Struthio camelus: one gene and its partners. The protein of the gene in region 2 binds, or shares a complex with, the protein of the main gene of each other region. Links are inferred from orthologs where the notes say so. Each region holds a gene or a part of one and is shown on either strand. Other genes may lie near its edges.

What was found.
Region 1: SMU1 (region 2) and ZMAT2 share a complex: the UniProt entries of both Homo sapiens proteins name them as parts of the spliceosome B complex. The link is inferred for Struthio camelus from reciprocal best matches to the Homo sapiens genes SMU1 and ZMAT2.
Region 3: SMU1 (region 2) and IK share a complex: the UniProt entries of both Homo sapiens proteins name them as parts of the spliceosome B complex. The link is inferred for Struthio camelus from reciprocal best matches to the Homo sapiens genes SMU1 and IK.

The regions. Positions count from the first base shown.
Region 1 is NC_090954.1:22,677,621-22,684,986, forward strand, and holds the start of ZMAT2 (zinc finger matrin-type protein 2), read right to left. Parts: upstream 2,947-7,366; coding exon 2,929-2,946; intron 1-2,928. Other genes in the region: histidine--tRNA ligase, cytoplasmic, read left to right, coding at 2,945-3,208, 3,453-3,515, 3,628-3,747, 4,776-4,871, 5,695-5,820, 6,105-6,212, 6,402-6,500, 6,930-7,023 and 1 more. UniProt on the Homo sapiens protein: Involved in pre-mRNA splicing as a component of the spliceosome.
Region 2 is NC_090982.1:10,333,989-10,341,721, reverse strand, and holds the start of SMU1 (WD40 repeat-containing protein SMU1), read right to left. Parts: upstream 3,041-7,733; 5' UTR 2,916-3,040; coding exon 2,890-2,915; intron 2,624-2,889; coding exon 2,413-2,623; intron 2,303-2,412; coding exon 2,150-2,302; intron 1,500-2,149; coding exon 1,389-1,499; intron 475-1,388; coding exon 346-474; intron 1-345. UniProt on the Homo sapiens protein: Involved in pre-mRNA splicing as a component of the spliceosome. Regulates alternative splicing of the HSPG2 pre-mRNA. Required for normal accumulation of IK.
Region 3 is NC_090954.1:22,732,434-22,740,279, forward strand, and holds the start of IK (protein Red), read right to left. Parts: upstream 3,025-7,846; 5' UTR 2,940-3,024; coding exon 2,924-2,939; intron 2,563-2,923; coding exon 2,496-2,562; intron 2,248-2,495; coding exon 2,155-2,247; intron 1,741-2,154; coding exon 1,681-1,740; intron 1,095-1,680; coding exon 927-1,094; intron 843-926; coding exon 728-842; intron 438-727; coding exon 367-437; intron 265-366; coding exon 218-264; intron 1-217. Other genes in the region: NDUFA2 (NADH dehydrogenase [ubiquinone] 1 alpha subcomplex subunit 2), read left to right, coding at 3,128-3,231, 5,097-5,203, 6,304-6,395; TMCO6 (transmembrane and coiled-coil domain-containing protein 6), read right to left, coding at 6,928-7,092. UniProt on the Homo sapiens protein: Involved in pre-mRNA splicing as a component of the spliceosome. Auxiliary spliceosomal protein that regulates selection of alternative splice sites in a small set of target pre-mRNA species. Required for normal mitotic cell cycle progression.

The DNA of each region.
Region 1 (7,366 bases), on a different chromosome or scaffold from region 2:
AATCGGAATCATTTGGCCTGTGATGCCACAGCAATAAATTATGGACACTACATTATATTCCAAATTCCTCTGTTTTCATACCCAGAAACTAAGGATGTAGCTTAAGAGAATAATACTCCATATGCCTATATCTGTTTCTTCCAGAAGAATTTCAAAGTGCTGAGCAAAGTAATGAGTTTATCTTAATAGCTCCTGAGATGATCATCCATGATTTCTATTTGAATACCAGACACAAACAGGGATTTCAACTGTTTGGTCTAAGGGCTTGGAACCTGACAAAACACAACCTAGTCATTAGCCAATTATACCTACTTTTTCCAAAGTCAGTTAAATCTGAGCTCCAAAAAAATCACATGAGGAGGCCATGAAACATAATATTAGCTATAAAGAATTTGATTAAAATATATGCACAAGTCCAGAAGGATATATACACTTGCTCTGAAAGACATCAGCAATATGTGTTCATGTCATGAGAATCAAAGCACTGAGTTTGCTATTAAATCAAAGGAAGCAGTATTCTTCATGTGAGATACGCATACAAGCAAACCAGGAAAAGCCCTGAAAACCCCATTTTTCAAATCAGGATGCAGAGACAGCAGGAAGACAATTGTACCCAACTCACAGTAAACTGTCCCATGCCCATAACTCCCCCATTCCAAATTTCAGACAAGCAGGGAAAAGGAGAAACATCTCCAAGACAGACTGGCCCTTAACTAGCTTCCCAAAGCACCTGAAACTGGGAATGACAGGATATATTGCAGGAACAGAGGCAGAGTTCAGGTGAAGCTGGCAATGAAGATATAGAAAGACTATTCTTTCTGCAGATACCTCTGTCACCACCCGTCATATGTGGATTTTTATCTAGCCACCAACACCGAGGGCAACGTGGACCTGAGAGGAACCCCTCTTCCACCCACATTTATTTATTCACTAAACTGTCAGATTCTCTTCTTGATGTCTGCCTATCATAGGCACAAAGGCCACAAAGAAAAGCCCCAGCACCTGGTAAGAGTCAGGGCTTACAGCTCAGACACTTCTTTACTTTCTGAAGAGGGTAATTCTCAGATAATTAGAAAGTTGCATTTCACTTGGCATGGCAGAGGCAGCAACAGGTTCTCAATTTCATATTGAGAATGAGGATGGCTGTATTTTAAGCCACCTTGGGGGTGGGGGAAGGACCCACATACACCCACCACCTTCTCCAGTTTAGTCAAATCAAGAATCCAATCACAATCCAAAGAAAATAAATCCCATTTGAAGCTACAGCAGCAGCACAATCATTTAAGGTTTTCTCCTCTGGCAGTCCTTCAAATGGAACGAACAACTACTGATAAGAACAAAAATGCCTTAGAGAAGTGTAGAAAAATTCTCATTTATTCCCAGAGCTTCTTAAGCACTTTAAGTGTATCATAACAGGTTTTATTAGCTACCCTGAGCAAAGGAAAAAGGAATTATCATAGAGTGCAAATTAACGTTTCAGGGTGTTTTCTGGATTCTCCTGCATACTGGCATATTATCACAAATCAAAGCTGGCTGAAGCCCAGGGAGGAGGAAATTTACTTGCTGCTTCACCCTCCTGTTATAATAAAAGGAAAATAATCTTTCATACATCTTTTCCCAGTCTCCCTAAGCCAGACACAATGAAACAAATCGAATCCAACTGCGAGCTATCTCTGACAAGATCTAAGCTTATCCAAAGGAACTTTCCTTAATTGGTCCAGTGGAAGCAAGAGTGGCTGCAAGCCCCCAAATCTAACAACTGCTCAGGGTGACATACACTATTTCCCAAACAAGTAACAACAATTAAAAAAAGAAAAGTGCTCCAAAGCCTCCTGTTTGCTGCAGATGTAGGCAGTGAATGATCTTTTCAGTTTCAAAGCCTATACAAGAATTCAGTAGTCTCAAGACTGGCGCTAAGCAGGAGGAACACAACCACCAGCGGCTAAAAATAAAACACAGGCTCCAACTCTTTCCCCAGAAGACATCCTGTTTCTTGCCCTCTCTCAGCATTGCTCGCTTCTCAGCGAGTGCCTTCAAGTGACAAAAACATTTGCAAAGAAAGCAGAAAGACACAGCCTCTGGTGCTGTAGTGCTGACAGCTGTCTTGGGTATTACTGGAGCTATTTACGACAATCTGGCTCTCCAGTTTGGTTATACAAATAGCATCTACTTCACTCATCTGATCTCAACAGGCCCAACACCAAATCCTGCAGGCTCCGTACAGGCAGAAAGACCTCACTGCCACAATACACAGATCAAGCAATGCCAATAAAACAATCAAGTTAAGCAGGAGCCATCAGAGACTTGAGGACCACAATCACAGGAAGGAAGGTTTCCCTATGCAGGGTAGTCAGCAACAGGTAGCAATTTTGGCCAGTTGGGACACTGGCAACCATTCCCCAAAGAAACTGAAAAGGAGCTGGGCAGGACGAGAGGGGGAATGGACAGAGGGAGCTCCCTCCACACCTCATCTCCGAGCCCGGGAGAGCCTCTGCGATGGGCCAGTCTTCCCCAGGAGAGCGAAGGGGGGGGGGGGGTTTCTCCACACCCGGGTTGGGACAGGTGCAACTCTCTTCACGAAGCCTAGCAGAAAAAATGGCTCCCTGGCCCTAAGGGGGCTGAGGTGGCTTCCATCTCCCCCTTTCAGCCACGAAGGGATCGAGGCTTCTCAGCTCGCAGCCGGGGGCTCGGCGAGGGGGACAGTCGGGGACGGGGCCTCCCGCAGGCCTCGGCCCCGGGGGGACGCTCACCCCGCGGCCTGCCAGCAGGCCCCGAGCACGGCCCGCCTGCGCCGGGCGCCCCTTCCCCGCCTCCGCCGCCGCCCTGCACTCCAAGAACGGCCCCAGCCGGCGCGGCCCAGTCCCCGACGGGGCCCGGAGCCCACAGAGAGAAAGGGGAACGGATCACCGCTGCCTCGCCGCCACCTACCCCGCTGCCCGACGCCATGTTGAGGATGCAGGCGATCGGCGAACGGAAACTGTCGCGCTCTGTCCGCCTGGGTCGTAAAGCGAGGCAGTCCGCCCAAGTACCAAGGAGAGCCCGCCGCTTAGGCCTAGAGTGCCACGCGGAAGCGGCGCGGGGCCGGTCACGTCACGACGTCACGACAGGTCTAGCCTCAGCGTCTGTGGTTGGCTCTCCGGCCAGAGCGCCGCGTCTCTATGGTTGCCAAGAGCCGCGGGACGCTCTAGCTGTCCCATCGCCTGCTCTGGTGCACCGGAACTCTGTGATGCCGGGAGCGGCCCCGCGTGTCGGCCCGGGGGGGGCGCGCGCCCTGCGCTGAGAGCGGCGCGCGCCGCCGCGAGCCGGGCTCGCCGCGACCGGCCATGCTGCGGCTGCGCCCGCTGGCCGCGGCCGGGCGGCTGCGCCCCGCCGGGGGCCAGCTGAGAGCCGGCCCGGCCCGGCCGCCCCGTCCACCGGGGCCGCTCGCTGACCGCGGGCTCTTGTCCCGGCAGGTGCGGGCGGCGGCGGCGGGCTCGGCCGGCGGCAGGCGGGGCCCGGCTCTGAAGACGCCCAAGGTGACGGTGGGGCGAGGAAGCGGGGGCACCGGGGGGGGGGGGCTGGGGACGGAGGGCGGGAGCTAGCGGCGGTGGCGCCCCGGCGCTGAGGGCCGCTCTGCCCCCGGACCAGGGCACCCGCGACCACCTCCCCGCGCACATGGCGCTGCGCGACCGGCTCTTCGCCACCGTCGTGGCCTGCTTCAAGCGGCACGGGGCGGCCGCCATCGACACGCCCGCGCTGGAGCTCCGGGTGAGGGGGCGCCGGGGCCGGCAGGACCCCGCAGGGCTGTGGGCCCCCCGCCTCGCTTGGGGCCGGGGGAGGGGGGAAGGGGCGCCCCCCCCGCCTCGCTTGGGGAGGGGGGAAGGGGCGCGCCCCCCCCCCGCCTCGCTTGGGGAGGGGGGAAGGGGCGCGCCCCCCGCCTCGCTTGGGGAGGGGGGAAGGGGCGCCCCCCCCCCGCCTCGCTTGGGGAGGGGGGAAGGGGCGCGCCCCCCGCCTCGCTTGGGGAGGGGGGAAGGGGCGCCCCCCCCCCGCCTCGCTTGGGGAGGGGGGAAGGGGCGCCCCCCCCCCGCCTCGCTTGGGGAGGGGGGAAGGGGCGCCCCCCCCGCCTCGCTTGGGGAGGGGGGAAGGGGCGCCCCCCCCCGCCTCGCTTGGGGAGGGGGGAAGGGGCGCCCCCCCCCGCCTCGCTTGGGGAGGGGGGAAGGGGCGCCCCCCCCCCCGCCTCGCTTGGGGAGGGGGGAGGGAGAGCTGTGCCCCCTCTTGGCATGGGGAGCAGGGACATAGGGCAGGGAGGGTGTTGGGGCCAATGCGGTGGGGGAAGGAGGGGACTGTGGAAACACCCTAGGGCAAGGGGTTGGGGGGGGGAATATGTGCCCTGCCCCAAACACATGCTGCTCTGCTTGTGGGGCTGCAGCGCTTGATCCATGGGGCTGTGGGAGAGCTGGAGAACCCTTCCATCCCGTGCTGCTTCTGCGGAGCTTCCCTGTGCCTTGCCCCTGTTTGTTTGTGGGCCTGGGGGTACTGAGGGACCCCCGGATGGTGGCACGAGTCATGCAGTTCTTCCCTGCAGGGCCCAGCGATGGTTTTAGTGCTGAAAAACTTTGTGTGTTCCCCCCTCTTCCCCACCAAGGGACTCCTCACAGCAAGGTTGGGGCTGGAGTTCAAGCCAGCCAACCTGCTCAGGGGTTTGGGCTTTAGTGCCTGTTCTCCATCCTGGGGGCTCTGAGCTTCAGCTGTTGCTGCTCTGTGCCTCCCCTAATGACTGCCTTGCTTCTCCCTAGGAAACGTTGATGGGGAAGTATGGAGACAACTCAAAGCTCATCTATGAGCTGCAGGATCAGGGAGGAGAGCTGCTGGCCCTTCGCTATGACCTGACTGTATCCTGCCACAGCCCTGAGCACGTGGGGAGCGTGCAGCCCTTGTGGAGGGTACAGTGACAGGCTGTGGTCTCTGCCTAGGTTAAAGGCGTTAGCATGAGTCCTCCTTCCCCATGTAACGTTACCCTGACCGATCTACGAATCCCAGCTTCCTTCTGTATGGATGACCGAAACTCTTGACTCCTTCACTCTGACCAGTTGAGATCCCAAGCTGGTCTGACTCTGTGACTCCCACCTCTAACTGCCTCCCAGTCAGTCCAATATCTGCAACAAATCTGCTCTTTCTCCTGCGGTCTGTGGGTATGTACCAGTATCCCCCACAATATTGGTTTTACCTCTTCCTAGACATGGTCCCCACCTGTGTGGGCTCCTGTCCTCCCCTGCCACCTTTCCCATACCTCTGCAGAGCATTGGTGGTTGTTTTGAGAGCAAAAGTGATTGCTGCAGATATGAAAGAAGCATCCATCCTGGGCCTTCTCTATCACCACTTGTCTCCCCTAAAAGCTCTTTTCTCCAATATCTCCTGCACTATGTATTGAATTGTTTCTGTATCAGACCTTAAGAAAGCAAAATGACCCAGCGAAGGTCTGTGTTTGCAAGGTGTTGACATACTGCAGTTAATGAAAAGGAAATGAAATTGTTCCTGCATTAAAAGAGCTAAGCGTAGTTCATCATACACAGCATCAGCCCAGTCTGTGTTTTAGAGAGCTGTTGCCTGGTCTGGGAGCAGCCTGCGAAGTGACAGGAGGACAGGGGTGGCTTTGGGATTCGGTTGTCCGGCTCAGGGAATCTCTGGGTTCTGTCCTTAACCCTTTGGTCTCAGGTGCCCTTCGCTCGCTATTTGGCAATGAACAAAATCACCAACATTAAGCGCTACCACATCGCTAAGGTGTACAGGAGGGACAACCCGGCCACAACCAGGGGCCGCTACAGGGAATTCTACCAGTGCGTGAGTGTTGTAGCTGCTGTGCGAGGGGAGCTGGGCTGGTTCCTCTCAGGAACGTGGGAGGAGAGAGCTGGAGAGTGGTGAGAGGGGTGGTTACTTTCAGCTGCTGTGTGCTTATACGATGCTTTGTGCCCCATTGAGCTCTGCCTCTGGAGTAGAGGCCCTGCACAGCAGTCCTGAAGCTGGGCTCCTGCTGAAGTAGAAGGGGATGCTACATAGGAGGATGGGCTGGATTTCAGGAGCAGCCCAGCTATGCCAGGAATTTCTCTACCTTTTCCTGTCCCCAGGATTTTGACATTGCTGGCCAGTTCGATCCTATGATTCCTGATGCAGAATGCCTGAAAATAGTGCATGAGATCCTGAGTGAGTTGCAGCTTGGGGACTTTCTCATTAAGGTGAGATGAGAGCCGAGTGGAGCCTTCCCTCCCATCCCCCGCTCCAGTGTGCTGTGGGTTTGAGAGACCAGTGAAAAGGTACAAGGAGACTCCAACAGCTGTAGCTTCCAGCACCTCTTGGGCAGGGGCAAGGAGAAATTGCAGTGGGATGATCTCCCCTGGGCTGAGAATGCCTCTTCCTCCTCCCAGGTCAATGACCGACGCATTTTGAACGGTGTGTTTGCCATTTGTGGTGTCCCAGAGAGCAAGTTCATAACCACATGCTCTACCGTGGACAAACTGGACAAGGTAAGGGAGTTCTGGGGGTTCTCCTACCTGTGTCCAGTGCTTTATGGGATAGTAACAAATGCTTGGAAGTAGCCCTGAAGTTGCAAAATGTGCATTTTGCTCTTTGGGCAGGTCACTTCCAGTTTCGGGATGTTCAGCCTGGGCAGTGGTTTTGCTATTCCCATCAGAAAGAAGTATCACAGCAGTTAATTCAGTAGTGTTTGTAAGGGACTCTGAGAACTCTTGGGCTAGTAGCAGTGGCCAAGAATAAAGCCTGGCATTGTCAGTGATTTCCCTTAAGGATTCCTGTGACATAGGCACAGATCATTAGTGAGAATGCTTGCTGTGAAGCATCTGCTCTCCTCCCACACACGTTCTGAATCCATGGGCTGGTGGAGACCACGGATGAGGGCATTCTGCAGTGACTGATGCTCTTGTCTCCCCTCACAGATGTCGTGGGAGGATGTGAGGAGCGAGATGCTGGGAGAAAAGGGGCTCTCTCCTGAGGCTGCGAATCGCATTGGGGAATATGTCCAGCTCCACGGTGAGCGCTTTGCAGGGGGGATCCCTTCTCCCTCTCGGCTGAAAGCCCCCCCCTCCAGCCTGCTCGGTCATTGTCCCTACAAGCACTGCCACCCTCTTGCAGGCCAGGCAGGCAGGGGCCAGCGCACCCTGGGCAGGGGCAGAGGGTGCAAAGCAGCACCCGCGACCGACTGGGCCCACGGTTGCCAGTGCAGCTCTGTTGCTGGCTCCTGGCAGACCTCAAGCATGGCTTGTTCCCACAGGTGGCCTGGAGCTGATTGAGCAGCTCCTCCAGGACCCAAAGCTATCCCAGAATCAACTAGCCAAGGAGGGGTTGGGGGACATGAAGCTGCTGTTTGAGTACC
Region 2 (7,733 bases):
CAAGTTAAAGACGCTAGTATTTTCCTTCACAAATAAAGAAGGGGTCTAAGCAACCATTTCCAAAGACTGAGCAATTCTGAACTGTTAAGTCAATGGCTAATGTGTTAGTCATATTCTTGAATACCATGAGCGCTCCAATGTTGTTAAGAAGCATCATTTCACACTCTCAATAGAAGTCTCCTCATGAGATCGAGGGGGAGTGAGAAATTCTTTACAAAAAAAGACAACAGAAAAGATGCAAAAGGTTTGTTTTTTTTTTTTTTTTTTTTTTACTCCCAACATAAAACACTGAAACAGGAAGGAACAAGAAATGGTAAAACACATAAAAAGTAAATAAAATCTCACCTTAATATGTCTGCTCAACTGTGTGGGGAACTTTTCTTCCTCCACATCTTTCACAGCTGCTTTGCCTCTGAACAAGTCAATTGTCATACCAGGAGGAAGCAGGCCCTGATGCTGTTGCCACTTCAGTGCCTTTTGAGGAGTTGAAAGCCATACAGCTGTGTATCAGTTAATGAAGTTTTGGTGCCATAAGCACAATACAGCAATATTTTCTTGTAACCACAAAGTGTTCCCTGGACAGTTTGAGGTAAATAATCATTTGAGCCAACCACAACTGAGATTTACGTTACGTTATGCTTCCCAAATCATGACTGCAAACAACAGGTTATTCCCAAATGCTCTTTGCAAGTGAGATTGACTTCAGACCCACATTTCTCATTTTATCTTTGGTACTTAATACATAGCACCCAGGCAGTGTGATAGGTCTGATCTTGCTTTAATTTAAATCACCTGATCAGCCGAGTTGTCTATTTGCTCAGAAGTGAATGCGTTAAAATTAGAAAGAACTCATAACCTCTCTTCGAGTACACAGATGAACTTAGTTCAAAAGACAGTCCTGTAAAACCCCTTGGGCAGATTAGTTGCTTTGTGTCACAGACCAGATTAGCTAGTTAAAAAGAGTTTATTCAGCATACCTGTCAGTTTTAGAAGTAAGACATAAACCACAAACCAACAAAATACAAAGTACTGTCTATACACAGTATAAATGAGTATGTTCTGAGAATCAGCAGTTATAAGAACACCAACTATGTTAAATATAACTTTTGAATGTGTTAATATTTATTTTGAGAATAATCATTCTAAGCTGGAGCATTTGTTCCATGGGAAGAAATCTGCCCCCGAAGGGCCGAGTTTTTCTGCAGCTGTTGAATTCTTACTAAAATGATAAAAGATCATTTTTAACTTACAATATATGCAACTCCGCAATATTCAGGCTTTATTTCTACAGAGCTGGAGAATCAACTGGGCAATTTTATGCAGCGAAGTCAGTTTCTGTATCTAGAGAAACTGAATAAGCTACTGAAACATTCTTTTTACAGGATTACCTGGCCCAACAACGCCATAAGACGAGACGGAGGTACCACGCTGACTTCTCCAGCTAAAGCCTGTGCAATAGCAGCTCTCCGTTTTTCTTTGCTACTTCCATCTGGGTATGCCTAGAAAGAAGTTACTTTTTATGAAGTCATTCTTCTAAGTGATTTGCCAGAGAAAGTTCCATTGCTTTGAGCTGAATCCCCTTCAGATTTTCTATGCGGCATGCAAAACAGCCCTTCTCTTTATCTCCAACCCTTTAAACACTTGGGATATGCATGTTTTGACTAAAAACGTCAGCTTTACACTTCAGTCAGAGAGAATATCTTGTTTTTGTTACTACTATCAATACTATTGCTGTTAATATTATTGCTATCGTTATACAACAACAGCTTTATTCCTAACACGCTTTCTTTGGCATATATAAAGGCAGGAAAAGCAAGGCAAAGATGTCAAGTGACTAGGCCAGTGTCATCCTGTAACAGGATATGGAAGTAAATTCCCAACCACCCAGCTTCACCATCCTTCAAAACCACTGTTTTGCCTTGTGACAAACTATTAGACATCATTCTGCAAACGCTTCATAAAACCCATAAAACCATCAAACTACAAAGTTTCCTTGGAATAATCTAATCCTGAAGGCTCAGGTGGATTCCAGGATCTTACACCCGAAATGGAAATGAGATGATGCTGTAAGCATCCTTTAGCAGCTTTGGCCAGTGGCAGGGATGATGCAGAATAGCATCATGAGGTCTCTGGGGAGGGCACAGCATACCTCACGAGGATCAAAGTAAGATCTGGCCAGAAGATTTTCGAGGTGGATGTACCGCTCTGGCTGAGTCTGTTTTAGCATGATCATGGGATCTGTCTGCCTCAAGAGAGACCTGGCAGCACCCAGCTCCCGGAGCTCAATCAACTCCAGCACAACCTGAAACAGAAGATAAACATCTGCATCGGCAAAGGCAGGTTGGGAAGCACCAGAGAAGGCTTCTACCGTGGACAGAGCAGGAAAGGCTGTGCACAGCCTGCCGACCCGACCTGCTCGTAGAGGTCGATGAGGGTCTTGTCGGGCAGCTTGAGGGACTGTATGGCCTGCAGCACTGTATCCCAGTGCCCGCTGTTGATATCAGCCACGAAGCTCTCGATGCTGTCCACGGTGTTGAGGGACACGGTCGTCTCCTCCTGAAGGGTGGCGAGCGCTCGGTGGAGGCTGTTCTCCTTCAGGTACTGCATGATCAGCCGGATCACGCTGCGGGGAAGCGCCGCACCATCACGACACCGCCTCAAAGCGCCCTTCTCCCCCCCACACACCTCGCCAGTGCCCACGCGAGGCAGCGCCGGCCCCCGACCCCCAGCGGCCTCGGGGCTGACAGTGGCCCCGCAGCCCCCGCAGGCGCAGCTCCTCCTCCCCCCCCACCACCGGCCGCCCGCCTGCCCCAACGGCTCCCGCAACGGCCCGGCCGAACCGCCCCGACAGCACCCGCCCGGCCCCTCGGCCGCCCCCGCCAGACGCACTCCGACGACTCGATTTCGATCGACATCTTGAAGCGCCACCGACGCCGCCGCCACTACTAGGCCCAACGCCACCACGGCGACTTCCGGCCTCGCGCCCCGCTCCTTCCGGCCGCCCCGCCCCCCCCCCCCGCGCCCACGTGACGGCGGCCCTGAGGCAGCCCGCGTCACGTGGCAGGGAGCGCGCGCGGTTGGGGGGAGCGCGTCGGGGGCGCCGCCGTGCGCCGGCGGGGGGGGAAGGGGGTCCGCGCGCCCCCAGGGCGGGGAGTGACGTAGGGCGGGGGCGGGGTGAGGGAGGGGCTGGGGGTGGGGGAGGGGTAAGGGGTGTCACTGGGGGGCTGTGGGGGGGTAACTGGTGCTGCTGGGGGGATGTGGGGGGGTAACTGGTGCTGCTGGGGGGATGTGGGGGTAACTGGTGTCACTGGGGGGATGTGGGGGGGTAACTGGTGCTGCTGGGGGGATGTGGGGGGGGTAACTGGTGCTGTTGGGGGGATGTGGGGGTAACTGGTGTCACTGGGGGGATGTGGGGGGGTAACTGGTGTCACTGGGGGGATGTGGGGGGGTAACTGGTGTCGCTGAGGGGATATGTGGGAGTAACTGGTGCTGCTGGGGGAGGTATGGGGGGGTAACGGGTGTCACTGGGGGGATGTGGGGGGGTAAGTGGTGTCGCTGGGGGGATGTGGGGGGGGGAACTGGTGTCGCGGGGGGGTGTGGGGGGGTAACGTGTCACTGGGGGGAGTGTGGGGGGGTAACTGGTGTCACTGGGGGGATGTGGGGGGTAACTGGTGTCGCTGAGGGGATATGTGGGAGTAACTGGTGCTGCTGGGGGAGGTATGGGGGGGTAACGGGTGTCACTGGGGGGATGTGGGGGGGTAAGTGGTGTCGCTGGGGGGATGTGGGGGGGGGAACGTGTCACTGGGGGGAGTGTGGGGGGGTAACTGGTGTCACTGGGGGGATGTGGGGGGTAACTGGTGTCGCTGAGGGGTGTGGGGGGTAACGGGTGCTGCTGGGAGGGTGTGGGGGGGTAACGTGTCACTGCGGGGAGTGTGGGGGGGTAACTGGTGTCACTGGGGGGATGTGGGGGGGGAACTGGTGTCACTGGGGGGATGTGGGGGGGGAACTGGTGTCGCCGGGGGGGGTTTGTGGGGGGGTAACGGGTGCTGCCGGGAGGGTGTGAGGGGGTAACTGGTGTCACTGGGGGGATGCGGGGGGGTAAGTGGTGTCGCTGGGGGAGTGTGGGGGGGTAACAGGTGCTGCTGGGAGGGTGTGGGGGGTAACGGGTGCTGCTGGGAGGGTGTGAGGGGGTAACGGGTGCTGCTGGGAGGGTGTGGGGGGGTAACTGGTGTCACTGGGGGGATGCAGGGGGGTAACTGGTGTCGCTGGGGGCGTGTGGGGGGGGTAACGGGTGTCGCTGAGGGGTGTGGGGGGGTAACAGGTGCTGCCGGGAGGGTGTGGGGGGGTAACGGGTGTCACTGGGGGGATGCGGGGGGGTAAGTGGTGTCGCCGGGGGCGTGTGTGGGGGGTAACGGGTGCTGCTGGGAGGGTGTGGGGGGTAATGGGTGCTGCTGGGAGGGTGTGGGGGGGTAACTGATCCTGCTGGAGGGGGTCGGCGGGCGGTCTGTGTTCAGCGCAGCGCCTTGGGCTGGGTCAGACCCACAGGCCTAGGCTAGCGTGGGGCTGGGGGCCTCCTGGCTGCTTCCCGCCTGCCCCGTGGCCCAGGTCGGCCAGAGAGGGAGCTGTGCGCTCTGATAACGGGTGGATTTGCTTCTCCGGGAGCGAGGCCAGATAACTCCATCCGGGAGATAGCGGAGGAGCCTCCAGCCACAGCCGTAGAGGGTAGGAGGCCTAGCAGAGACTCTTCCGCCACAAGCAGCACGTACGGAAAAGCCCTGCAACCTCCTGTTGGTCTAAACATTCTTTAAAAACTACTACAGCCCAGTTCTGTTTGCCAAGCTTGTGGTTCAGAAAAGGCAATGGAGAAATGCAGCACGTGCAGAAAAATGGTACTTATACCACCGTTACCGGTCAGAGGGGAAATGTGGGCTGCATTGTAAGCCCAGTAGCTTAACGCTGTTAAATCTCACTGGGAAAACCAGTGGTGTTTTCAAACTCTTCTGGACTGGGGAGGGGTAGTGGAGGAGGATGACACTTTAGGGACTTAACATGATTTAAAACCACAATAAAGCAAAGTTGGAATTTTTTTTTCGGAAGCTAGAGGTAATGTTTGTGGCTGGAAATACAATTTTGAACTTGGCTATTTTTGGTCATCACAGGAAAATGAAGTTACTCACTGTCCTTGTTGTAGTTTGTCAGGTAAGTTGGAATAAGTACTGGGCATAAGATCTGTTACAGAGTGCAAGGCAGAGCCATCTGAAACACTTGCAGCTCATCGAACCTGAAATACTGATGACCTGAGCAGAGTGTTGGCCTAACCAGAAGGACAGAGCAGCAGCCGTGTGTGCGGTGGGTCACGCTCTGTTCAGTGCCTGCCAGACCGAGACACATAGCTGTGCGAGGTGAGGAGGAGAAGCAGCTGGGCATCCTTTGAGGTGGGACAGTTTGGCTGGACAGTTTTGTTCCGGATTTGAGGAGCAGGGCTCAAGCTGTGAGCATCTTAGACCATGGGTTTTGAAGAGGCCCCTGAAGAGCTTGGGCAGCCCTAGGAATTGCTACAGTGGATGTGGGCACGGTAGGAGAAATGTGCCGCTCCTTTGTCCTGTGCTTTTCGTGTGCAGAAGAGCACATGAGAAAAAAGTACGAAGGGTGGGCCTCGTATTTCCCCGAGGGTGGTCATCGGTTCTGGGAAGTACAGGTTCTGTTCTGTTTTGTTTTGCTTGTATCCAGCAAAATAGCAGTATTTGAAACAGAATGGCCATTTAAACGAGCAAAGCAAATGTAACTTTAAGGCAAGAGCTCTAATATCGGGGCTTACGTAGTTATTCCACCAATTGGCTTTTCACTGTTGCCTTAGAAGTATGCTCTGGTCCTTCAGCATAAGCCTTATTTGATTGTTTTATAGTTTGAATACAGAACACTGGTTTTCTGGCTGGTGTTCTACAGAGCTATGGTGCACCAACCATCCTTTGCTCATCAGGATTTCAAAAGACTCCTTGTGGTGGCACTCACAAATGTCAGAGTGTAGATCTACCTTCTTTTTTCTTTAGGACGGGAGCTGCTGTCATCTGGTCAGTCGTGGCTTGGATGTGGAACAGCTCCTTGGCTGCCTGCTTGGTTGTATATGCAAGTTTCCAGGCTTCAAAATAGCGATCTTTCTGCTTAGCCCTAAGTCGATCCAGTGAGAGCGCTGCCTTTCAAGGATGTGATCATATATCTGTGGTTAGCACTGTACAAAACAGTTTTTCATTAGTGGGGAAATTAGTAGCGTATCTTGACTGCATTAATTATAGAGTGTAAGAATTGCAGAAAAATGCCACCATCCAGAGAAGTGCCACAGCACTAAAAAAATGCACTTGCAGAGCCCTCCAGTGGTGAGGGAGGGACGTCAGAGACAAATGTCCTTTTGGTACACCCAAAGGGTGACTGTGGCAGTCCGTCCATACTGCTTGGACTGCCACTGAGACCAAAAGTGTTGAAGCCCTAAGAGTGGAATAAAGCTGATGATATCCCTCCTAGCCGCACGCAGGTTCAGATGCAGTCCCCAGGAAGGAGGCTCCTCACATAGGATGGCTAGGTCTCCCAAGCATCTTACTGCTCCAATTTCCCCACCCTGGGCACTTGCCAACTGTTAGCTGTAAGTGCTTATTTCAACGTCTGATATCAGTGCTGGACTGCCAGAACAAAAGCATACGAAATCCACTGCGCTCAGCCTCTCTTGGATGGACTTGTTCCTTGCTGTTTTTTTAGGCTTAGCGTATGATTTGCTGGATGGGCCACAGAAAATGGAACAGAGTGTGAGAAATTGCCTACCTTTGCCAATGAAAGCTGTTCTTCACCATCTCTGTCCCCAGAGTGTTTAAGACAGTAATCCAATAGCATGAAGTTGAAGAAATAACTGCGCAAGGCACACAGTGAACACTTTGCATGCTATTGTTTCATTTCAGTGATCCAAGCTTGTTGGTTTTAATTGCTATTACAGAAGTGCAGGGATTACTGTAGAGAAGTATTAGTTGATCATTCCAGGCATATTGGTTTCCAGTGACAGGAGTGTTTATGTCTGCTTAAAGTTGGTTTGAAAACAAGTCTGGTCCAGGCTGCAACGAAGCAAAGCCAGGTGTCTAGCTTAGCCGTGCTAAGCTACCTCAATCGATAAAATCCAAAAGTGACAGCTGTTTTGCGTTGGCAGCGCATAGGAATCTTACTCAAATCTGTAGGTGAATTTAGCTTGAGTGGCTAACACTTGGTGAGAGAGGGAGGGCAGGAAAGTACTCCTGCTGTAGAACAGAAAAAGCCAAACAGACAGGCTACTTACTCCTCAGCTGTCTCAGTTCTCAGACCAGCATTTTTGTGTAACTGGCACAGGAACATGTTAACAGACTGAGCGTTGGTGGTATATGCCCCATGTGGCCTTCTTTAGTAACTCCAGGAGGAGACAGACACCTCAGCTAAATCTTTCTGTGTGGTGAGTCAGAGCTCTTAATAAACTGCTGAAAAGAGGGTCCCAACGCACCAAGTATGCGTGAGCATGCTAGAACCAGACTTTGGCTTTGTGGCTAGACAAAGCGACAGCCAACCCAATCTCGTGCTGGCAGCAGTCCTGCTCTGAGAGAAGTTTGTCTAGAGACCTCCAGAGGTCCTTCCAACCAACACTCATAGCATGCCAGCTCTCACAGAGCATTACATAAGAAAAGGAAAGATTCAGATTTTATTGTTTGGCTTGAAAAATGGAT
Region 3 (7,846 bases), on a different chromosome or scaffold from region 2:
AGCTGATCAGAGATCTCATAACTACCCGCTAGGAGAGACACTTCCTCCAGCCCTAAAAAAATCAGAATTTCTACACGACAAAGATATTCCTGCTTGCCAGACCCTCCTGTCCAACAGGTTAAAACTTTCATTCCTCCATCCACCCTTCGAGACTCCTCCCACCCTTCCTGGCACAACCCATGTAAGGTGGTGAGCAGTCACATGCACATAATCTTACCCAACCGAGTCTTGAATTCAATTTTGTTTTCAGGATCTTCATCTTTCCTAAGAAGAAAGAGAAGCATTACAGTAAGTGTTTGCATGCCTCCTCTTCCTCCTCTCCGGGAGGCCTCTGCACGCAGGAGCAGAGCGCCCTGAAACACTTACTTGGTTTCCTTTTGGGGCTTCTCCATCATTTCCTCCTCTTCCTTCTCTTTGCTGGCAATCTCAGCCCGTACCTGGCCACAAAGCAAATCCATGCATTACAGACCAATCCATGATACAGCTGCTCATCTGAGCCAGCAAGAGTTCCTCCACCAGATCCCCAACCCCTCTTAAACCTCTCCCAAAAAGAGCAAGCTATTCCAAGAACACACTGACAACGCTAGACTGAAGTGTCTATAAACAGTGAATACTACCTTCTCCCCACCCTCTGCGCCAGTAGAGAAGAGGAGAGAACAGAGGAATACGAGTGGAACTCTGGCAAGCCAAGCGCTGCTCAGAGCAACATGGTGCTATCTGTGCTCACCTTCTGCAGCAGCGCAAAATCCAGACCCTTCACCAAGTGAGTGTGCTCCATGTCACCACCCAAGAACTTGGACTCCTGGATCAACTGTCTCCTCTTCTCTGCAGCTGACTTATCCCTGTGCAACAAAAATAGAGCCAATTATGAGAGAGTCACTCTGGAGTAGACTGGCAACACAAGGCCTGGCCATAGGCTCACGTACGCCTCTGCAGTGGGCCCCACAGCTCTGTAGTTCGCAGTCGTGCTGATCAGCTCTGTTTCCTCGTAGTCCTTGTTGACTCCATCTCTCCTCTCCTTGGCTCGATCCCTATACTTCTCAGCCAGCTCCCTCTCACGCTCTATCTCCTGCTGGCGCAGCTTTGCATAATAGCTGGGGTTGGAGAAACAGCTCAGTGTTAGAGCTACAGGGTTACACTTATAACGCCCGGTCAGCTAACACAGCCCCCGAAGGCCCCAGCACATGCCTTTTCTGCTCCCTACTCCATCCCCAAACATGGGCTAAAGCACCAAGGGACACAGCACGCTTTGAAAACACTAGTCAAGATGAAACTGTTCTACAGGTTCACTGGAGAGGAGCCTAGCCCCTTCTAAAGGGAAGGGCCTCGAGCACAGTTCTGCTGCACAGGTGTGCACCAGGGGAAATGCTCACTAGTACAGATACCCCAGCACTGTCCAGATCTGCCAGTCACTTGCAGAGCGCTCTCCCACTTCTTCTGGCAGAGAAGCTTCGCCCCCACCCTGCTGCTACCCTTCCACATCCATTCCCACAAGCAGTGGCAGTCACTCAGTCCAAACCCTTCTCACTCTACTTGGCTCCTTTGCTCTTGCTCCAAAGTCTCAAACTAGTCCCGCCCATTTAGGGTCCTCTTTGGTAGCCCAAGCTGCTGAAGAATTGCTTCCATGGGAAGGAGATGACATGGGCCGATGTCTCTCGATGCATCATTTTCCCCATTTACCTTTTCTTCTTCCTTCTGCGAGCGGCTGGATCTTCATCTTCGTTGTACTCCCGGGGCATCCTGGAGAAGGGTGAGAAACCACACACATCATAAGCTGCACAGACTCACATCATCGAAGGCAGCTAGACAGAACAGTAACTCAGGAACTACAAGGCACTGAGATACTCAAAGGGTTTCACAGAACGACAAACCAAAGCTGCCTCTCGGGACCCTTTACGTAGTTGTTTAAAAACATGCAAAATCCACTCTGTCATTCCCAAGAGTTCTGACCAACTTATTTATCCAACCAACTCCAATAACACATACACAATTTGGACCTGAGCACAAAGCAAGGGCAAAGTCTGCTCCTTGGCCCTGCCTGCACACTCAAGTTAGCCACTGTAGAGCGCAAGCAGAGAGAGTCAAACAGAAACAGTCTTGAAGGGAGAGAGGCCATGCTTGGTCCCACAGCTGTGTGAAATGCATTCTACTCACTCATGGTGGCGAGATTTGGAGGGTGGCGCAGATGTTGGCGCAGCCCGCGGGGTCATGAGAAGCTTTCGGAAGTCTTCATTGGTCAACTTGGATCTGCAGAGAAGACACGGTAAAAATAACAATCATCTCCCAAAGAAAGATCAGCCTGAGGGGTGGGTACCGCAGAGACCGAGGGATCGCCAGGGCATCCTGTGTGACAGGATCGAACACAGGGCAGCCGCGGAGGGAACCTGGAGGCTGCGTCGGTCCCTCTCAGCCTCCTGACATGAGGATGGGCATCGTAACCCTGAGGCCAGCAGGCCTGGCTCGATCCCGCCCCGCCGGCCGGGCGCTGTGCTCACTGGTGGAAGGAGTGTGCGTCGTCCACATCGTGGCCATCGGGGGCCAGGGGGTTGGAGAACGGCTCGCCTGGGGGACGGGAGGAGAGAGAGCGCTCAGAGCCTGCCTCACCCCCCTGCTGCCCCCCCCCCCCCCAGCCCGGGCCCGGCCCGCAGGCAGGACAGGGGCAGCGGCCACTCCGCTCGCCTCCGGCCGCGCACCGGCCCCGGCCCGGGACGGGCTGGCAGGGGAGCGCGGGGCCCGGTATCACCGCCAGGAACCGCTACCCCGGCTGACTCCGTGCCCCCGGGAAGGCCCCGCACCCCCCCCCCGCCCGAGGGGCCTCCCGACGCCCTGGCACCGGCGGGTCCCGACACCCGGGCGACTCCCGCGCTCCCCGCCCAGGGTGTCGCCCCTGCAGGCCCCCGGGAGCGCCCCCCGGCCCACTCACTGTCCCGCTCCGGCATCTCGGCCCGCTCCGCGCAACAGCCCCGCACCGGAAGCGCCGCTCCGCCCTCCCAGCACCCCCCGCGGCCAGCCCTTCCGCCCGCGCCCCCCCCCCCCCGCATTGGCCAGCCTCGGGACCAGGGCCGCTGTGATTGGCGGCCGCCGAAGCCCCGCCCCCAGCCGTAGCTAGGGGAGGCCTAGAAGGAAGATGGCAGCGGCGGTTGTGAGGGGCATCGGGGGCGGCCTGGGCCGCAGCTTGCGGGAGCTCCGCATCCACCTGTGCCAGCGCTCCCCGGGCAGCCGCGGCGTGAGGTGCGGGCTGGCTGCGGGGCGGCGCTGTACACGGGCGGGGGGGGGGACGGTGCTCGGCGCTGTACACGGGGGGGGCGGTGCTCGGCGCTGTACACGGGGGGGGCGGTGCTCGGCGCTGTGCACGGGGGGGGCGGGGGCGGTGCTCGGCGCTGTACACGGGGGGGCGGTGCTCGGCGCTGTACACGGGGGGGCGGTGCTCGGCGCTGTGCACGGGGGGGGCGGGGGCGGTGCTCGGCGCTGTACACGGCGGGGGCGGTGCTCGGCGCTGTACACGGGGGGGCGGTGCTCGGCGCTGTACACGGGGGGGGGCGGTGCTCGGCGCTGTACACGGGGGGGCGGTGCTCGGCGCTGTACACGGGGGGGGCGGTGCTCGGCGCTGTACACGGGGGGGCGGTGCTCGGCGCTGTACACGGGGGGGGGCGGTGCTCGGCGCTGTACACGGGGGGGGCGGTGCTCGGCGCTGTACACGGGGGGGGGGGGCGGTGCTCGGCGCTGTACACGGGGGGGCGGTGCTCGGCGCTGTACACGGGGGGGGCGGTGCTCGGCGCTGTACACGGGGGGGCGGTGCTCGGCGCTGTACACGGGGGGGGGGGCGGTGCTCGGCGCTGTACACGGGGGGGGGCGGTGCTCGGCGCTGTACACGGGGGGGGCGGTGCTCGGCGCTGTACACGGGGGGGGGGGCGGTGCTCGGCGCTGTACACGGGGGGGGGCGGTGCTCGGCGCTGTACACGGGGGGGCGGTGCTCGGCGCTGTACACGGGGGGGGGGGCGGTGCTCGGCGCTGTACACGGGGGGGGGCGGTGCTCGGCGCTGTACACGGGGGGGGGCGGTGCTCGGCGCTGTACACGGGGGGGGCGGTGCTCGGCGCTGTACACGGGGGGGCGGTGCTCGGCGCTGTACACGGGGGGGGCGGTGCTCGGCGCTGTACACGGGCGGGGGCGGTGCTCGGCGCTGTACACGGGGGGGGGCGGTGCTCGGCGCTGTACACGGGGGGGGCGGTGCTCGGCGCTGTACACGGGGGGGGGCGGGGGCGGTGCTCGGCGCTGTACACGGGGGGGGGGCGGTGCTCGGCGCTGTACACGGGGGGGGCGGTGCTCGGCGCTGTACACGGGGGCGGTGCTCGGCGCTGTACACGGCGGGGGGGGGACGGTGCTCGGCGCTGTACACGGAGGGGGGGCGGTGCTCGGCGCTGTACACGGAGGGGGGGCGGTGCTCGGCGCTGTACACGGGGGGGGGCGGTGCTCGGCACTGTACACGGAGGGGGGGGGCGGTGCTCGGCGCTGTACACGGGGGGGGCGGTGCTCGGCGCTGTACACGGGGGGGGCGGTGCTCGGCGCTGTACACGGGGGGGCGGTGCTCGGCGCTGTACACGGGGGGGGGGGCGGTGCTCGGCGCTGTACACGGGGTGGGGGGGGCGGTGCTCGGCGCTGTACACGGGGGAGGGACGGTGCTCGGCGCTGTACACGGGGGGGGCGGTGCTCGGCGCTGTACACGGGGGGGGGGGGGGGCGGTGCTCGGCGCTGTACACGGGGGGGGGGGGGTGCTCGGCACTGCACCGGGAGGCGGGCCGGGACGGTGCTCAGCACTGTGTGCCGGAGTAGAGCTGGGACTGAGCCCCGTGTCACAGCTGCGGGAGGCCCCCGTCCCTGGCGGCCGGCAGACGTGGGTCCGCTGCCACGGCAGTTCGGCGCCCTCGGGGCACTGGGGTACCCCGGCGGTACAAGAGCGCCCCTCCCGCTAGCCTGCCGGAGCCAGCATCGGGCCCCGAGGCTCCCCGGGTCCCAGACGTGCTGCCGAACCGCCTCTCGGGAGGGGGCTTGGCCGTGCTCTTCGTGCCCTGGGAATCTGACCCTCCTCTCTTCCCAGAGACTTCATTGAGCAGCACTACGTGACCCTGAAGAAGGCAAACCCGGATTTTCCCATCCTAATTCGCGAATGCTCTGAGGTGCAGCCCAAACTGTGGGCTCGATACGGTAAGCGGGGAGGTACCTGCAGTGAAATACCTTCTGACAAAATCTAGAAAAAAAACGTGGTACCACAGTGCTGTGGTCTACAGGAAATCAGGGAGTTTGGTAATTAAAGCAATGCAAATCCTCTCTGAGGGAGCAAGTCTCTGTGAGACAAGATGTGGCTGGGGCCCCATTTCTTTAGAAGAGGAGAATGCAGGAACACAGATAACCCCACCATTAATGTACTTGAAATTCAAAATCTTGCCAATTAATGATAATTCTTGCTTATCAGTTAAACTACTGCGATAAAGTTGTTTTCATTACCTCCTTGGTGTGTTACGGCTGTGTAACCTGGTGGGAGGCACAAAACGCACACTCCCTGGGAGGTATTTGCCAGCTTGTGCCCGTTATCTCCCACACCCATAAGATGCCTATGCAAAAAAAAGAAAAAAGTTTTCTGCTTTTTCTTTCGAGTTTCACTGTATCCTCAGTGAAACTAATGAAGGAGCAGAAAAGCTCCTAGAGAGGAGGCTTTGGTTTCTTCTCAAAGGCATCTGGGACAGACAAAAATCACTTTGAAAGAAAGTTTCTAAGAGACACAATGACTCTTGAAACATGAATTTCCCAGTGTGAGTAGAAGGACCAACAAAGCCTTCAAGTACAGTGTGTCTCTTCTGTCTTGTTGTGAGTTGCAGGAAGACACACTGCAAGGCAGGAGCTGCTGTAGAAGCAAGTCCTTCAGTAGTGTTTTACTGAAGTGTTTGTGAGGATCTGGATGCGTGGGGCTTGAAAGCCACCAGGCTGCTTTGGGGACATCACCACAGTCTCTGTTCAGCTGCATTAAGAGTTAACAAGAAGAGGCAAGCAAGCATGGCATGCTGTCTTGGCTTTTCTAAGGGAAAGGCTGAGTCACAGGGTAAAGGGAAGGTGGAACCGGTAACTTGGGCATGGCAAGGCATCCTGGAGAGGGCTGGGTGATAAAGGAGGGTGGGGGTAGCCACACCTGTGGCTCTAGTGACCCTGGCTGAAGCCCTAGGAAAACTAAATCAGGACTTTACCTTGCCCTTTCAGTAGAAAAGGAACAAGGCATCTGCTCCCTCTCTCACTTTCCGTCTCTCCTACAGAGTTCGGCAAGGAGAGAAGCGTGCCATTGAATAACCTGAGCATGGATGAAGTAGCCAAGGCTTTAGAGAACGTTGTAAAAAGCAAGGTCTGAAGACAGAGTGAACCTGTGCGCACCGAAGACTTTACTGATGAGCTTTAATGTGAAACATGTCTATCCTTAAGTTATTAATCACATAAATGTACGTGCTCACCCTGAGCTTTGTGTGTTGCGCTTAAAGCTGTGACAAAAGGAGACACTCCAGTTGGTTTATATTTGCTGGATTATAAACCAGCAAATCCAGAAGGGTTTATATACCACCTTCCCAGAAATGAGAGCCTTTCTGCACTGGCCGTAGCACAGCTCTGCCCTGGCCACACACAGTGAGGCATGGGGCAGACTTAGTTCTGACTAGGCCAAATTTAATTCTGACTAGGTGACTGTAAAGACCTTGGGGAGCAGAGAAGAACAATCGTACTTTGCCAAGAATCCCCATCCAGGACCAACAGCCTTGCACTGGGGCTTACAGCTGGATGTTAGACCTTTAACCATCCCTAGGTCAGTGGTATGTGAAAGCAGAGCACACTGAACGATTTATTCCTCCTTGTAGCGCAAGGGCAGGTGGAGGGAAGGGAGACAGCATCACCTAGGAGAGAGCAGGCAATGCAGCATGTGTGGTACTGACAGCAGAGTCTCCCGCCGGCTGCAAGGCCATGTCCAGCAGTGCTCGCACCCGCTCCTGGAGTTCTGGGGTGCTCTGATGCTGCTCAAGGGCCCGGTGCCCTCCTTGGCTGATGAAGTCAACAGCAGCCTGTGTAAGGAGAGAGGGATAAGAGCTGGCTGGATCCCGGTTGCCTCTTGAGAGCTGAGGCAGCTGAGTAGCCACTACAGTTGCTCCTATCTGTCCTGGTGCCACAACTGCCATTGTACACCCTAGGGAGCAGGGCTAGAAAATTCACCATTGCCCTACCAGACACACAAGCCCAGAGTCAGATAAATATAGCTGCTTGATCATTTTAAGCACAAAACTGTGTTGATCCACCTGCACGTTAACACCTGCAGTGAGTCCCAAGGGCTCTGCACAGAAACAGGCCTCTCCTTGGTCTTTTCCCACCCTCTGAGAAGGGGGAACCATTAGCCCATTTTTCCATAGCAGCCCCAAGCTGGGTCTGCCCAGATAGGACACTGGGCTGAGAGTGTGGAGTTGTAATGGAAATATTAAAATTGGTCTGAATGAAGCATCAATGGAAATGCGTGAAAGCAGTGGAAGAAATGGCAGAACAAGGGTTCAAAGACAGCTTGTATTACCATCAGTTGTGTTCCTGGCTATCAATAAACCACAGAGAAACACGTTTACATGAAGCCCTGAAAGACTCTGCTTGCTACAGCTGCATCACAAACAACTTGGCAGTGAAATCCATCTGCTCTGCAGCAGAAGGATGGCCAAAAGGGCCCAGCAACAAGCCACATGCCCTTCTTCTCCCACTTAGCCAGATAGGACGAGGAAAAACAGATGCTAGGCAGCAGGCTGGCTGGGAGTATATGGAACCTGAAGAAAGCATAAC